2 linked regions of the Notamacropus eugenii genome follow. The protein of the gene in region 1 interacts with the protein of each later gene in a pairwise test. Links are inferred from orthologs where the notes say so. Each region holds a gene or a part of one and is shown in the gene's direction. Other genes may lie near its edges.

What was found.
Region 2: the proteins of KATNAL1 (region 1) and KATNBL1 interact in binary tests that used the Homo sapiens proteins (3 or more experiments, as listed by UniProt). The two-hybrid records come from large-scale screens. The link is inferred for Notamacropus eugenii from reciprocal best matches to the Homo sapiens genes KATNAL1 and KATNBL1.

Annotation. Positions count from the first base shown.
Region 1 is NC_092876.1:198,844,599-198,852,661, reverse strand, and holds the start of KATNAL1 (katanin p60 ATPase-containing subunit A-like 1), read left to right. Parts: upstream 1-4,906; 5' UTR 4,907-5,128; intron 5,129-8,063. UniProt on the Homo sapiens protein: Regulates microtubule dynamics in Sertoli cells, a process that is essential for spermiogenesis and male fertility. Severs microtubules in an ATP-dependent manner, promoting rapid reorganization of cellular microtubule arrays.
Region 2 is NC_092878.1:17,341,794-17,349,637, forward strand, and holds the start of KATNBL1 (KATNB1-like protein 1), read left to right. Parts: upstream 1-4,682; 5' UTR 4,683-4,802; intron 4,803-5,922; exon of another isoform or gene 5,923-5,989; intron 5,990-7,844.

The DNA of each region.
Region 1 (8,063 bases):
TAGTGTCAAGAATGCCTGAATCCAAATCTGGTTTCAGACTCACACTAGCTGTGTAGCCCTGGGGAAGCCACTTAACCTCCTTTGCCTCAGTTTTCTCAACTGTAAAATGGGGATAACAATAGCACCTACTTCCCAGCGTTGTTGTGAGGATCAAATGAGATAATACTTGTAAAGTGCTTAGCACAGTGCTTGGCACATAGTAGGCACTATATAAATATTTATTATTATTATTAGAAAGTGGAGATGTTTGCCCTGAAGAAGAGAAAACTTGAGAGGTGACATGATATTTTTTTCTAAGTTTTAAAAGGCTATGATTTGGGTAAGGAATTAGATTTATTTTTCTGAATAATGGGTAAATACATAAAAAAAAGTTCCCAGCAATTATAGCTATCCAAAAGGTGTTTTAGTGGATGGAGCGCTGGGCCTGGAGTCAGGAAGACTCATTTTGTCAGTTCAAATCCGGGCTCAGACACTTACTAGGTGTGTGACTCTGGGCAAGTTACATTTGCCTCAGTTTCCTCATGTGTAAAATGAACTAGAGAAGGAAATGGCAAACTACTCCAGTATCTTTGGCAAGAAAACCTCAAATGGAATCATAAAGAGTCTGACTTGACTGAAAAATGACTGAAGAACTGAACGAAAAGTGGAATGGGATTGCTTCTGGAAGCAGTGAGTTCTTTAGCACTGGAGATTTTCCGAGACTGAGTGATCATTACTCAAGGGCCCTGTAGAGGGCATTCATGTTCAGGTACATGCTTTTTGAAGAACATGGCTAATGGGACTGGAAAGAGATGTAAATGTCCCAGTTTTCAAAAGGGGAAAGAAAGTAGGTAGGAACATTTAGGTTTGATGAGCTTAATGTCAGTTCCTGGTAAAATTCAGAAATAGATTATTAAAGGAACATGTTGTGAGCACTTTGAAAGGGAGGATGTGATAACTAAGAGTAATCATAGGTTTATTAGGGATGAGTCATGCCAGCCTAACTCGATTTCCTTTATTGACACGATTGCTATATTAGATCAGAGAAATGCTATAGACATGGAGAGTTTATCTGGATTTTAGTCAGGCATTTGAAGGAGGGAAGGAAACGAGTATTTAATACATACCTGCTATGTACCAGGCACTGTGTTAAATGCCTTACAAATATCTTGTTTCCAGTCTTTTGACAGTCTGTTTGACAGTCTTTTGCAATATCTATATGGACAAAATGGAGAAATATGGACTGGATAACAGCACAATTGTGGGGTTTAGAATGGGTTACCTGGATTCAGAGAGCTTTCATTAGTTGATTCATGTCAACTTGAAGAGAGGTGTCCAATGGAGCATCTTAGGTCCTGTCCTTGGCCCTTTTCTCTTCAATATAACATAAAACTTGAGGGATTACTAATATAATGGGTAAAAAAATTGAGATCCAAAAGGATTTCAGTAGACTGGAAGAGCGAGATGAAGTAAAGAAGATGAAATTTGATAAGAATAAATGTAAAGTCCTATACTTCGATTAAAAAATCAATTGTACAAATAAAAGATGTAGGGATCAGGTAAGGGGGAGGGAAGAAAACTGTGATTAGATAGCAGGTCCTATGAAAAAAAACCTGGGATTCCTAGGAGACTGAATATGAGTCAGCAGTTACAGTTAATAGTTTCTATTGAAATTTTTTATTTCTATTCTAAATTCTATTGAAATTTCTATTTCTATTTCTTGAGGGTAAGGACTGTCTTCTGCCTCTTTCTGTAACCTTAACACTTAGCTCAGTGTCTGGAATATAGCAGGTGCTTATTAAATGTTTATTGAACAATTGATTGAAAATTACCTATAGAGAAGTACCTAGTATAGCTAGGACTGGACTTGGAGATGGAACACCTGAATTCATGTCTTTGTTCACAGAAGCTAGGCTGCTTTTGTTATGAGCTTGATGCTCATCACTGGGCGATCTTTGTCTATTAAGTAAACTCACATGGTATAATTTAGATCGGCAAGGTAGAAGTTTTTGGTTGTTGATCAGCCATCTTTCAGTCATAACTGACTCTTCATGATCCCATTTGAGTTTCTTTTTCTGACAGAGATGTGAGAGTGGTTTGCCATTTCCTTTTCCAGCTCATTTTACAGATGAGGAAACTGAGGTAAACAGGGTTAAGTGACTTGCCCTGGCTCACACTGCAAGTGAATATTTGAGCCTGGATTTGAACTCTGGTCCTCCTGAACCCAGGTCTGCTGCTCTGTCTTCTACTTCACTTGCTTTCCTATGTAAATCATATATTTCCCCATTAGATTGTAAATTCTATAAAAGCAGGTACTATGCCACTGACTACCTTTATATCCATAATGCCTTGGATGTAGTAGGTATTTAGTACATATCTATTGAATTAACTTGAACGATGTTCAAATTGGGGTATGACATTTCCTTTAAAAATCATTATTTTTGGCAATGTCTTTTGTTTTCATATTACCATTTCAGAATACATCTCTCCCCCTTACACTAGCAAGCCATCCCTTATAACAAAGATTCTAAAAGAGAAAAAAACAGTTCAGAAAAATCATTCTGCACATCAGTTGTGTCTGATAGTGTGTGCTATCCATGTCTATGATCTCCATCTTTGCAAAACAGGAAGGGAAATGAACACCATATTTCATGAAGTGGGTTGATGTTGACCTGACCCAAGTGGACTGAGCTGAGTGGGTGGGGTGTATTTATGTCTATTTATATAAATCTGCAAGAACCAAAGCAGCAGTTTTCTGAAGAAAATTCATTTTTGTCCTTTAATGCAGTCATTTCTCCCGTTCACTCTTAGATCTAAACCTCCCTTATGAAAACTGAAAATAATTAAGCAGAATCATCTGATAGAGGAACCTTGACTCACAGTGTGTATAGAATTTTGTCCAATTCCATCAACTCTGTGCCACTAGGGAGAAAGCTGAAGAGGCTTGCCTCCAAAGGCTGTGAAATACAACTCTGAACAGTCAAGAGCAAGGCCATGGAACTAGATCTAAGTGAAAATCAAAGTCCAAATTGAGAAGATAAATTCAGTGTCAGGGAGGAGCTAAGTAGAAGGGAAAGCATCCCACAGCTGGTGAAAGAGTGGCTGTCACTTAGTTTAAGAACCTTTATCAACCCTTGTGCTTTTACTGTCCCTTCTCTTCCCTCCTCAATGGAACACACACAGTCACCCAATTGTACGTCTCCTTCTAAGGCATCTTAGCAAATTCCTTTTGACTGCTTAAGAAGTTGGGGTCCTAATCAGGAACAGAGGGAGAAATGAGGTGAAGAAAAATCCTTCAGTCTTCCGATAAGGGATGAGAGGTTAGAAAATCTCAGGAGGTAAGAAGAGGTAACAGTTTGTAAGCCCAAGGAGACATAAATGAATTGGAACCTAAGGTTATCACTGTAAAATTGAACGGGTGAAAGTGATTTCTATTGAAATTTTTTATTTCTATTCTAAATTCCATTGAAATGTCTATTTCTATTCCTTGAGGGCAAAGACTGCCTTTTGCCTCTTTTTGTACCCCTAGCACTTAACTCTGCCTGGAACATAGTAGGCGCTTAATAAATGTTTATTGAATTATTGATTGAAAATTACCTATAGAGAAGTGCCTAGTATGGCTAGGACTGGATTTGGAGACAGAGTGCCTAAATTCATGTCTTTGTTCACAAGATTCTGGGGTAATAGATCTAGAAGTGGAAAGGACTTTAGGGATGAGTGATAGATGATTCATCATCCACCTCTCCCCTCTTCCCTCCTTACTTTACAGATAAGGAAACAAAGGAAGCTCAGTGACTTGGCTGAGGTCACACTTGGTAGTGTCAGGGGTGAGATTTGAACCCAGGCCCTCAGATTCTAGAGTTGGCCTTCTTCCCACAGTACTACACTGCTTCCATGATGTTGCTGTCAATGACCAGCTCTGTAAATCTGGGCAAGCCAATCCCTTCTCCAAGTCTCTGATTTTTTTCTCTGAGAGGAGCATAAGAACACTTATGCTTGTGTTTGACTATATCAGTGTGAAGATCGAATGAGTTTATACAGATTAAGCATTTTGTAAATTGTAAAGCACCATATAAATGCACTTTTACAATTCTTAACAAACCATGTCTGGATAACTCCAGACTCCTGAATCAGTATAGCTAGAATTCATGAGAGTTTATTATATTTTGTTTTTAGTTATCAACTTTTGAAGGATTTTAAGGTGCATCTCTTTGTGAAAGCTTCCCTTGAACTAGAGGAATTCATTTAACACAATTTGAGGCCACGCATCCAATTTCCCATTTATTAACATTGAGGTCATGGATGATACTTCTCTCACATCTCTCTATCTAAAACTGTCCACATCACAATCCCATGCCTCTTGGCTATATTTTCTACTATCTTCTATTTCACCTTTCCCCCATGCCTTCTTTATATACTTTCCAATTGTTTCATATCTGACTTTTCTTGCTATTTACTAACCCTCCTGTCTTGCCACCCTTTTATTTTCCCTCCTCCGCCCCAATTCCCATTCCATTTTGGAATTTGCTTAGCCTTCTAATTTTAGATCACAGTTAGAATCACAGAATCACATAGGTGGAGACCTTAGAGATTATCTAGTTCTCTTAATTTATAGATGAGGAAATTAGTTAGTCTGAGGACCGGGACTCTATAAACCAAGTTGCTTCACTTCAGCATGTTGAACTCCATATATGTGTTCTAGTCTATTTTTAAAATTTGTTTGTTCTTTGTACCTTCAGGATGGACTATTGGGAAGAGAAGGGAATAAATATGTATATAGTCCTTATTTGTTATTGCTTGTCTTTTGTTTTTGAAGAGGACCCAAGACATCACGGATGATGTCTCAACTTTTCCATGAACTGGACTTAAGTGAAGCAGAACTGCAAAAAGTCACCAGCCTCACTCTCTCTTCCAGAGTCATCAAAGTCCAGAGGCAAGACAAAAGTCAGGATGACTGGCAATGACCTGGGATGCAGTGGATGATCTTGGGGACTTTGAGGTCTGACCAAGCTCTAGGTGCTCTACAATGACTGCTTTAGCCACCTTCATGGCCCTTGGAACAAATTGTTCTCATCTGCCGTTCTACCAGGGGAAGTCTTTACATGCTTGGAGCAGATCTCCCCCTACCTCACTGATGGGTTTGAGGCCGGTAAGTTTAGCGCTTTTGCCTAGATAGTTTTACCAGGGTGTGACCACTGCCTATGCTACAGCTTCTTGGAGCTACAGGTGTACTGTTTTTTGTTTTATTGTGTTTTTCATTTTTAATCTCTCTTGCCTTTTAATTGTTCCATTTTTGGTGCCTACTGGTCTGGTAACGCATCTCTTGGACAGAGCTTCTGGATCCAAACAAAAGCCATTGGGGGAAAGGCGGACACCAAAGGTGAATGAGCAGTGCTAAAAAGTGACCAGCAAGTCCCCACAGCAGAGTCCTCCCACAGCCCTTACACAGTACCCAGAACTGTGCTAAACACATTACAAAGAACATCTCAATCTCATTCTTGCAGCAATCTAGTCAGGTAGATGCTGTTATTAAGCCCATTTTATGATATAAAAAACTGAGGCAGATAGATGTAAAGTTTTTTTGCCTTTTTTTTTTTTTTTACAGTTGATGGCTTCCCTTCTTATGCTACTTGTTTTATATACTTTATTAAAAAGAACAATCTTATATAACATTGGCAAGGTAGGTGGGGAAACAAAAGGGAAGGCCAAAGGACTTGCTCAGGGTCATACAGCTACTAAGTGTCAGAGGTCAGATTTGAACTCTGGTCTTCTTGACTCCAGGCTCTTTCTCCTAGGCTCCCTAGCTGCCTGTTATCCAAGTCTCTCTCCTTCCTGCTTTGGAGTTGTGCATTCTTTCTTCTTATTGCACACAGTCAGAAGCTCCAGACCTAGCTGTATCTCCACAACATCATCTCATATCACAGACAACAAGGTTGTTGATGGTCCGACCACCTACCTTCTGCAGGATTGTAAAAATTCCCATCAGTCACCCTATGGACCATGGTTCCAGACTGGCTTTTGGTTGCATTCATATTCTTTTTATTGTCCCATTCTTATTTGTGGAACTGAAATGAGGAATTCTGACACCTGTAGGAAATTCACTTCAGGAGGATCACAAACGGGAAGAGCCATGGGACATATCTCGTGACACAAGATTCTGCAGCAGGAGAGAAATCTTGGAAACATCATGCCCTGGGGGAGAGACAGAGACTTCAGGATATCAGCGGGACAGGACCATGGAAGGCAGGAGAAGAGTAGGGCCAAGTTATGGAAAGTTCAGTGGGACTGTGGGAAAGCTTTGGGCTAGAGGAAAGTCGAGGGGATGAGCAGGGCTGTGTGTGGCCTAGGACCTTAGGGGCTTGAATAGAGAAGGCTCAGTTCAGGGAGATGCGCCAGAGGTTCCCTACTGTAAATGTGTCCTTGGACAATACCTCGGTAATTCTGTCCTAGTTATGGCCATGGCTGTCTGTGTTGGGACTACTCTTGGCCCTGCAGCAACTTCTATCAGAAATAGTTTCCTAATGGCTTTGTTGAGCACTTTTGAAGTTCCAGGCAGTGGGCTGATCTGCTTGCTGTCTCTTTTCAAATCATCCCTGAAATTTGTCCTTTTCTCTTTGTAAACCTTTAAGGGCTATATAAATGTAGAGGGTGCTGGTTTTTGTTTTTAAATCTCCTTTGCCCTTTAATTGTTCCGTTGTTTGGTCCCAACTAGTCTGGTAATGCATCTCTTGGACAGAGCTCCCAGATGCAAACAAAAGATAAGGGAGAGACACTTGAGAAACTGGAGACTGAGAAGAGAAAGGGGATTATCTCTTTGTGGTTAGACTAGAGGAATGTTTATGTGGTTGTTGTAAATGTTAACTTATCTGGACTAGAGCAGACTTTTGTGGGGAAGGCATGGCAGAGCTGAAAGCCCAAGCCCAAAGACAGATGTGGTCATGATTCTTGCCAACGTGACTTAAGGGACAGATAGCATGGCCCATCATAAAACCTCATTAGGCCTGCCAGGTGAATGAGGAAAGGGGGGAGATTTGTTGTCCTGGTTTAAGCAATGCTGTTATCTCTAGATTGTGTCACGGCAGTGTTAGAGGTCTGTTTGAAGATTTCAGTTTACTTTTAGTGGCTTTGCTTTCCTTTCTGAAGAAACATTTCAGCAAGTATCCTTATTACCGGCTAGTTCTCAGAAAAGATTGCAAATATTAATGTCCCTCGAAAAAGTAAAATTCATCTTAACATTTTCCACTCTTTCCATTAGATGAGAAGGGATTAAATGTTATGTAAAAACAGTCTTGGTTTTCTTTAGTGGGAAAGTTGAATGTTAGCGGAGGGACAGAGAAGGGAATAATCACTTATATATTCCCTGCTAATAATAATTTATATAGCCCCTAGTATTATTTTGATCAGAGGCGCATAGGTAGTGCAGTGGATAAAGCACCAGGCCTGGAGTCAGGAAGATTCATCTTCTTAAATCCAAATCTGACCTCTTACACTTACTTGCTGGGTGACCTAGGTAAGTCACTCAAGTCTGTTTGCCTCAGTTTCCTTATTTGCAAAATGAAGTGAAGATGGAAATGACAAAACACTCCAGTCTCTTTGCCAAGAAAACCCCAAATGGTGTCATAAAGAATTGGATGGACCCAGTCAAACAACAAAAAACTATGTGTCAGGCACAGTGTTATATGTTTTTTACAAATATGATCTCATGTGATCCTCACAACCCTGGATGGTAAGTGCCATTATTAACCCCATGTAACAGATGAGTAAACTGAGGCAAACAGGGATATGCAGCTAGTAAGTCTCTGGGGCCAGATCTGAACTCAGGTCTTCCTGATTCCATGCCCAGAGCTCTAACCATTGTACCACAGCTGCCTTCATACTTTACATCAGCTGTGTTTTTCTGTGGTTGAAAAATGAATTTAAAATATAGGAAAAATCCAAGAAGTTTCTGGGTAAGACAAGGTGCTGCAAATGTGATACTCTCTTCTGTGTTTCAATTTTAGTTTAGATATTCATTCAACAAATATTTATTGAGTTCTGACTAATTGGAGAGCTGTGTTGGGTGCTGTGGTAGACAAAGTGTACTT
Region 2 (7,844 bases), on another chromosome or scaffold:
ATTGGAGAGTTGTGTAAATCAAATAAAAGTTAAGTAACTTGTCAACGTACCAGTTTCTTAAAAAGTGAAGGGTTCCATATCCTCTTTTTATTGTTTTCGGTCTCTCCCAGCGCTATTTGGTCCATGTATTAGACACCCAGAGGAATGACTTTGATTCAATTTGATCCAATTCAAGTAAACTTTGGCCTCTCAGAATATAAGTTCCTTAAGGGCAGGGACTCTTTGCACTTCATCTCATCCCACCCTGTTTTCTTAGTAGATTGCATTTTTAATCATTCCCCCTCTCCATAGAATCTTCTTCCTATCAACTGGTTCCTTCTCTACTGCCTTCAAATATGCACAAATCTCTTCCATTTCAAAAAAAACAACGCACCCACTTAACTAGATCCTACCTTTTCCTCAAGTTATCATCCTATAACTCTCCTCTCTTTCTTAATCAAACTCTTTGAAACAACTATCTGCTGTTACTTCCTCTACTTTCTCTCTTCTCACTCACTCCTTAATCTCTTTCAATATGGCTTCTCGTCTTATCACTCAACTGAAACTGCTCCCTTCAAAGTTAACAGTGAACTCTGAATTAATTGCCAAGTCTTTGTCTTTCATATTCTAATCTTTCCAGTTCTGTACTGTAATAGCTGCTAAATCTTGTGTGATCCTGACTATGCTGCCTCAGTATAAGGAGTCTATTACTTGGACAAGGTTTATTTGTTTGTTTTTTAACCTCTTATACTGTTTTTAATTCTTTCCTCTGAAGCTTTCATTTATTTTCTAATTCTTTCCTCAAGTAGTCTCATTTCGTTTATAAAATCATTGAAACTTAAAACCTTCTTTCTTCACTTATTCCAGGAATTCTAACTGACCTTGTGTCTAAGCTGTTTCTTTTGGAGGCTTTGCATGTACATATTTTGGAATCATTTTTTTCTTCTGGGTTTGTGTCTTTGGAGATCTTATTTCCATCACAGCTCTTCATCCTGGGAGACTTTTTATGTATACTTATTTTTTCTAGTGTACCTCAAACAGTTTAATCTAGGGTAAAGTCTATATACTGCCCTCCTGCTCTGAGCTTTGAGATCTCCTATTTCAGAGCAGTTTCTGCCTTAACCCAACTGCTTCTTGCTCTAGTAGACTACCAGTTTAAGCTTTATGTTTAGTCCTTTGGCTAGAAGGTTCTGCATGGCACCTTCCTGTCTAGACCTCATCAGCAATGCTCAGGGATCTCTGTCTCCTTATTATGAACTGAGCTGGAAAAAGGCTTACTCTGTTTTCTGTTTAGAGTTGCTGATGGCACTATTCATAGACCTTTGTTGGAATAGCTTTAGGAGAGAGCTGGGGAGCACAGCTTCCTCCTGTTTTGCTATCTTTGCTGATTTCTCACTTGGACCAGGCTTTAAAGGATGGTTAGGAATTTAACAGGCACCTTTGTGTGCCTTTCTGAGCTCAAGAGGGATGAAAATCCTGTTTGAGTGAACTCTCCATATCCACCACATTCTCGAAGGCTTCAAGATATACCCACAACTTCCAGCTTTCCTCAGGGACAAAGAGGTACAAGCCTCATTTATTGCCAGTGTACTTTAGGAAAGCCTTAGAGGTAACATACACTTTAGCTGTTGCAAGAGCAAATCTGCCCCAAATTAAGAGAGATTGGAAAAATTTCTTGAGCAGTTTCTCCAAAATTCATACATACCCTTTACTAATTACTTTGATATCAGAGCCAGTTCCTTCTAAGGAATCAGGATTTGTTTTTGTTTGTTTTTGGTTTTTCATAGCCAGGGCTATACAGCACTTTATGATTGAGGTACCAGATGGTAAGTAGCTGAATGTTGGTCTAACAGATTTTCATGGATGACTATTTTAAAACTTGATAAAATATAAATATCTATGACTTAAAAGGCATGAACACTAGAACACTATCAAGATGAAATCATGTTTTTTAATCAGGCTTTCTCCTTAATCCCCTTCATTCTGGCTTCCAACCTCACCACTCTAAAGAAACTGTTCTTTCCAAGGTCACCTAATCACCAAATTAAATAACCTGTTTCTTTCCTCATTCTCCTTGACCTTGATGCCAATTTCAGGCTTGCTGACTATGTCTCCTTCCTTAGTTTTCTGACTCCTTTTTCTCTAGTTAATCCTTCTCAGCCACTGTAGCTTGTCCCTTTTCTTCTTTCTGCCCTCTTAAGTGTTGGCATTCCCCTTGTTTTCCTTCTTAGTGCTTTTTCCTATGAACTTTCTTTTACCCACTCCCATTTCTTTATTGTTCACTATTTTAGGACATGACTTCCAAAAATAATTTCCTTGCGTGACAGCTTTTTCAAGCTCACAACCTACATTTTCATCTGTCTTCTTTGAATTTTTATGTCATTATATCACATTCAAACACAATATGTCCTATAGTTGTTCTGTAGGATCTCAAACTCATGTCTAAAACAAAACTTATCTTTTCTTCCCTCCTCCATTTACTTCTTTTCAGAATTTCCCTATTTCTATGGAAACTGCCTAGGTTCATAATTTCTATGTCATCACTAACTCTTTTTTTCCCCATCTCACATGCCCAAATGTCATGTTTTATGGGCTGTCTTCACGGCATTTATCACGTATGTCCCCTTCACTCATACAGTCACCACCACAATGCTGTCATCTCCTCTTGCCTGGACTAGGTCCCAATTGATTTTTTCTCTCTACTCTCTCTCTCTCTCTCTCTCTCTTTCTCTCTCTCTCTCTCTCTCTCTCTCTCTCTCTCTCTCTCTCTCTCTCTCTCTCTCTCTCTCTCCACCCCTCTTCCTCACTTCTCTCTAATCCATTATCCTTCACACAGATGTTACAGTATTTTTCATAAAACACTGATCTATGTCTCTCTCCTACTCAGTAAACTCCAGTGGGCTCCCTCTTGCCTTTAGGATCAAATACAAACTCTTCTGCTTATCATTTAAAGCTGCTCACAACCTGGCCTCAATCTGATCTTCACATACCCTACAGTCCAGACAAAATGGTCTTCTTGTTTTTCCTTACATGTGGCATTCTATTTCCTATGTCTGTGCTTCTGTACAAGCTGTCACCCATGCCTGGAATGTACCATCTCCTCGCCTCTGCCTTTTAAAATCTCTAATTTTCTTCAGACTTCAGCTTAAACACTACTTTCAAGATAAGGACCTACTTGACCCCCGCAGTTGCTAGTACTTCTCCCCCATAATTATCTGGTGTTTATTTTGTATGTGTTTATATGTGTAGAGGTTGCCTGTCCTCCCAAAAGAACATAGATTCCATAAGCTCAGAGACTTTCATTTTTATCTTTGGATATAGGGTATGCCACAATGTCTACCACATAGTAGGTTCTTAATAGATACTTTTTGATTAATTGTTGTCCAAAACCAAACCCATCTTCCTCTTCTATCTATCTAGTCCTCCCAATTTCAATTCAATTTGATTCAATTAAACAAGCATTTATTAAGTTCCAACTATGTGAAAAGTACTAGACTAGAGGATATAAACACAGGAATTTAAAAGTCTCTCCCAGCTATGAGTTAGTGCAGAGTTTAATGTCTTTTTTTTTTTTTTGTGGGGGGAGGAGAAGTTGCATTCTCACTTGAGGTCATTTTCTTATACTGAGTTATACTTGGAATCAATTGTCTTTTTTATTTGTTTCTTTTTTTAAGACAATTTTATCCAATTTTATTTTATTTTTTAATTGAATTATTTTATTTGTTTTCAGTGTTTGACAATGACTTCCATATATCTTAGATTTTTTACCACTCCCTCCCCGTCTTAGAATCAATTGTCAAAAGTCACCCACATGATGAGGACAGGAAGCTATTAACCAAGTCTACATCCCTATACTCTCCACTCATCTGTTCCCCATGGATATTGCCTCCTCTTGAAAGCAAAGGTGGTCCTAGTTGTAGGCTGAATGGTTAACTGGTTTGATTTGAGGGACTTTAGGAAAGTTCAACTTACCCCAAAATATTTCCCCTGATAGTTCATTTACACTTTTCTGGAACTTAAGTAAGTCACTTTATCTTATCGGACCTCAATTCCCTCAGTTATAAAGTGGATCAGATGGTCTCCACGCTCCCTTTTAGAACTAAAATACTGTGAATTTTTTGGTAAGTTCTCTTGGTTGAAGGAACCTCCAGGAGAATGTCTGCTTACTTCAGGATCTTGTTGGTGGACAGTTCCACTTAAGAGTCATCCCCTTAAAGAGTCATCCTTGGGTTCAAACCCCACTCCTGAAGACGTCACTGAACCTCTCAGTCCCCATTTCCTTACCTGTAAGATGAGGTGTTTGGACTAGAGAGATGTTACGGTCCCGTCCGGCTCTAAGTTGGTGATCTATATAACTGGAGCATGAAAAGGAGAGTTCTGTTCTGGTGCATTATCCTCATGGTGGTGTGGAGATCAGAAGGTTGCAACAGGGAATTTAGGGATGAGGAACTGGTTTTTGCCTCTTTTTATCCCAGCGCTTATACCACAGGGCCAGGTACAAAGCAGGCGCTTAAAAACGTTTATTGAATTGAACACTATGGGTCCAGGGTTCCAGCCCTAGGAAAGAGCCATAGGGACAAAGCGCCTGCCGCGCGCAGATATTGCCACCAGGGGGCGATATAGCGGAAAGTGGGGCGCTGGAGCCCTTGACATGCGGGCTCCTCCCCCTCCTCCGTCCGAGGGGCGGGGCCGAGGTGCTATCCCGGCTGGCCGCGCGGCGGCTTTTGAATGGCGCTGCCTGGGGGCCGCACTGTGGGGACCGCGGAGGCGCTCTAGGCTGTCGGGGCCTAGCTGGGGAGGCGCCGCTGGACCATGAGCCGCCGGTGAGTGGTTTCTCACTGCCCAGCCCGCGTCCGGCCAGCTTCGGAGGCCTCGCCCTGCGCCCTCCGCTGCCCGGCCCTGGGGCGCTGTCTCGCCGCTCCCGCTGGGCCTGACTCCGGGGAAGAGGCCGCCGCCCCCTTCCCTGTCGTGAGCGCGCGCGGGGCGCGGGGCCGCGCACTGGGCCGGCCTCTGGGCAGGGGGCTGGGGGGCTGGGGAGCTGGGGAGCTGGGGAGCTGCGGAGGGGGCCCCGAGGAAGCCGCCTCTGACGGCCCCGGGCGGGGAGCCGCGCGACCCGGAGAGCCGGGCCCCGCCGTCACGTACGGCTCGATCCTTTGGGTGGAGCTGACAGCTGCGGGGTGCTTTAAAAAGAACAAAACCCCCCAAACCCTTGTGCGGGGGGTGCGGGGGGAGACCCAGGGTGTTCCGGGCGGGCCCCTGAAGAGCGCTGAACCCGCTCCTGCGGAGAGCGCCCCGTGCCCGCACGCGGGGCTTCTCCGCTGGCACTTTGGCATCTGTCTCTTCTTTTCTGGTTGTTTTTTCTTTAAGTTAAGCTTTTGTTGGGCCGGAGAGAAACTTGGAGTAGTTGCATAAAATGTGCTGACTGCGCCCTTGAAAACGCTTATTGAGTATTTTCTGAGAAGTTGTTCTTTGTTACAGTATCGGGCATGGTAACTTCTTAGGTGACTTCCATAGAGAGGTAACAAAGAGTTGTTTTGTGTTTCTTTTCTTGTTGCCTTTTGAAGTTCCTTGAAAACAGAACTGTCCCAGCTGCTTGCTGTGTTACTTTGTAACACACAGAAGACACAGACACACACACTCTCTCTCTCTCTCCCGGAAGGGAGACTGATTTTTAAGGATTTCGATCTTTCCATTTTAACCCTTACAAACGGGCTGGAATCTCACTCTGCATTGAAGTAGCTTCAAATACAACGCCCTGGAATTTTGCACTAATGGTAGTTCTGTACTTTAAAATATTTAACACACTATAAAATGTTTTCTAAAATGACCGACATCTCTATTACAATGTTAACAGACGTGCAAAAGCCCCGAGCAAACAATGTCAGACAACTCTAATCAGAACTCTAATCTCAAATATGAGGAGTTCACTGTAAGAACATCCATGGGGGTTTTGGATGTTCTTTGAAGTCGGGCACCTCTGTTATTGAAGAATGCCACTGGATTTTCCAAGGTGAATGTGCTTGATAAGGTTATCTGTTTAAGGTTTCCCAGGGAAATGCTTTACAAGTGTTAACTCATTTGATCCTTATAACTCTGGGAGATAGGTGCTATCAAACCTCATATTACCGTTGAAGAAACTGAAGTAAACTGAAATTGTGATGTGTCCAGGGTCATACAGCTAATAAGCGTCTGAGGTCAAATCAGGTCTTCTAGATGCCTGACCCTGTTCTCTCTTCACTGGACCACCAGTTGCCCCTAGATAACGTTGTAGTCTATTAAAAGAGTAAGTGTAATTATCTAGATCAAGTTTTTTCCCCTGAAATACATTTTTAAAATTTTGTATTTCTTTTGTTCCCACATAAAGTAGGTGAGTTTTTGGCTATTGTTTTATTTAGTTCGTTCTTCTAAGTCTTTTAAAGCAAATTTATTTTGGGGGGGGGCGGACAAATATGTTTACATGCGTTAGATTCTAGTTTCTTTGATTAAAGAAAAAACAATTCTGACATAAAATATGTTGAATGCCTTTATTTGACAATGTGAGAAGAGAATGTAATTATTTTACAATATTTTTTTAATGATGCTGAAGTATGATGCCTTTGACTAACTACTCCAACAGACAATGTTAGCATATTTAGTTATTAGCTTTAGCACTTAATGGAACGTAGGTTCTTATTGGAAAATAGATTGATGTTTGGGGAAGTGATTTTGTTTTCCTTTTAAAAAAAAAAGGAAGAGCAAATCATAAATTTTATCTGGATTTGTTTTTTTTAAAAGTCAGACTTATATTCTGTACTCATAAGGTCCTCAAAATGTGTATAAAATTGATGGATTATTTTTCAACACATGGCTTGAACCACTTAAGTTGATATGGGAGTTAATTTCCTGAAAGATTGTGTTTATATGGTCTGTTTTTTCCTGTACCTTTGCTTTCACTATCTTGCCATTGTTTCATTTAATTTATACACTGCATAGGGGAGAATAAGTCTAATTCTGGGCTAGTCCACTATTCAGAAAGTGGGAGATCAAGTTCTTGGTGGGAGAGTGGAACCTAGAACGGTTCCCTCCACCCTTTCCCACACTCCCTCAAAAAAATCTGCCCCTCAATTAGAAATTGTTACCTCACTTTGACAGAATTTTGGCATTTCTTCTAATCAGAGATTCATTTGGGTTGAATAAAGAAATAAAATTCTTTTTGTGAATGTTCTTGTAAAGGCTGTCAGTCTTTACCACTTTGATTAGTTGAGCTTATTTTCTTCTGAACTACAAGAGTTTTTGTGGATCAGGGGATTAATTTGGGAAGATTGAGACACTGAGGAGAGGGCTTTGGGTAGCAAGTGGCCTTTAAAAACCTAGTGGTATGAGGGAGATAAGGAAAGGGATGTAAACAGGGTGATCATGCTTACAACTTTGTCTAGGGCTGGCCTTTTGCCTCATCTAGCAGGGGACATAGTAGGAGTACAGGTATGATATTCATTATTGGTTCTGGTGATGATTCTGGAAAGCTAGATTTGGAGAGGGTAAGATTGAACATCTTTGTGTCAATCTTCCTTTTCTCCCCTCCCTGAAACCCTTCCCTCCACCCCCCATTACCCTGTGCTGAGTCATATACTCCCTGAATGTTATCATAATGGAAATATCTCCAAATTTTAGATTTATAGGTTTTAGGGCCAATGCTATTTCTTTAGTGTGCCTAAAGATTTTGTCTTAAGAAAATGAGGAATGATCTGTTAAAAGAAGAAAAAAAGGATTATGAGTTGCTGCTTTTTGCATTGTTTTTTTCAATTTCTGTATTTCATAAGGTTAGGGTTATTAAAGAGGTTATTAGAAGATATAGAATAAATTAAAAGAGAGTGACAAAAATAAGC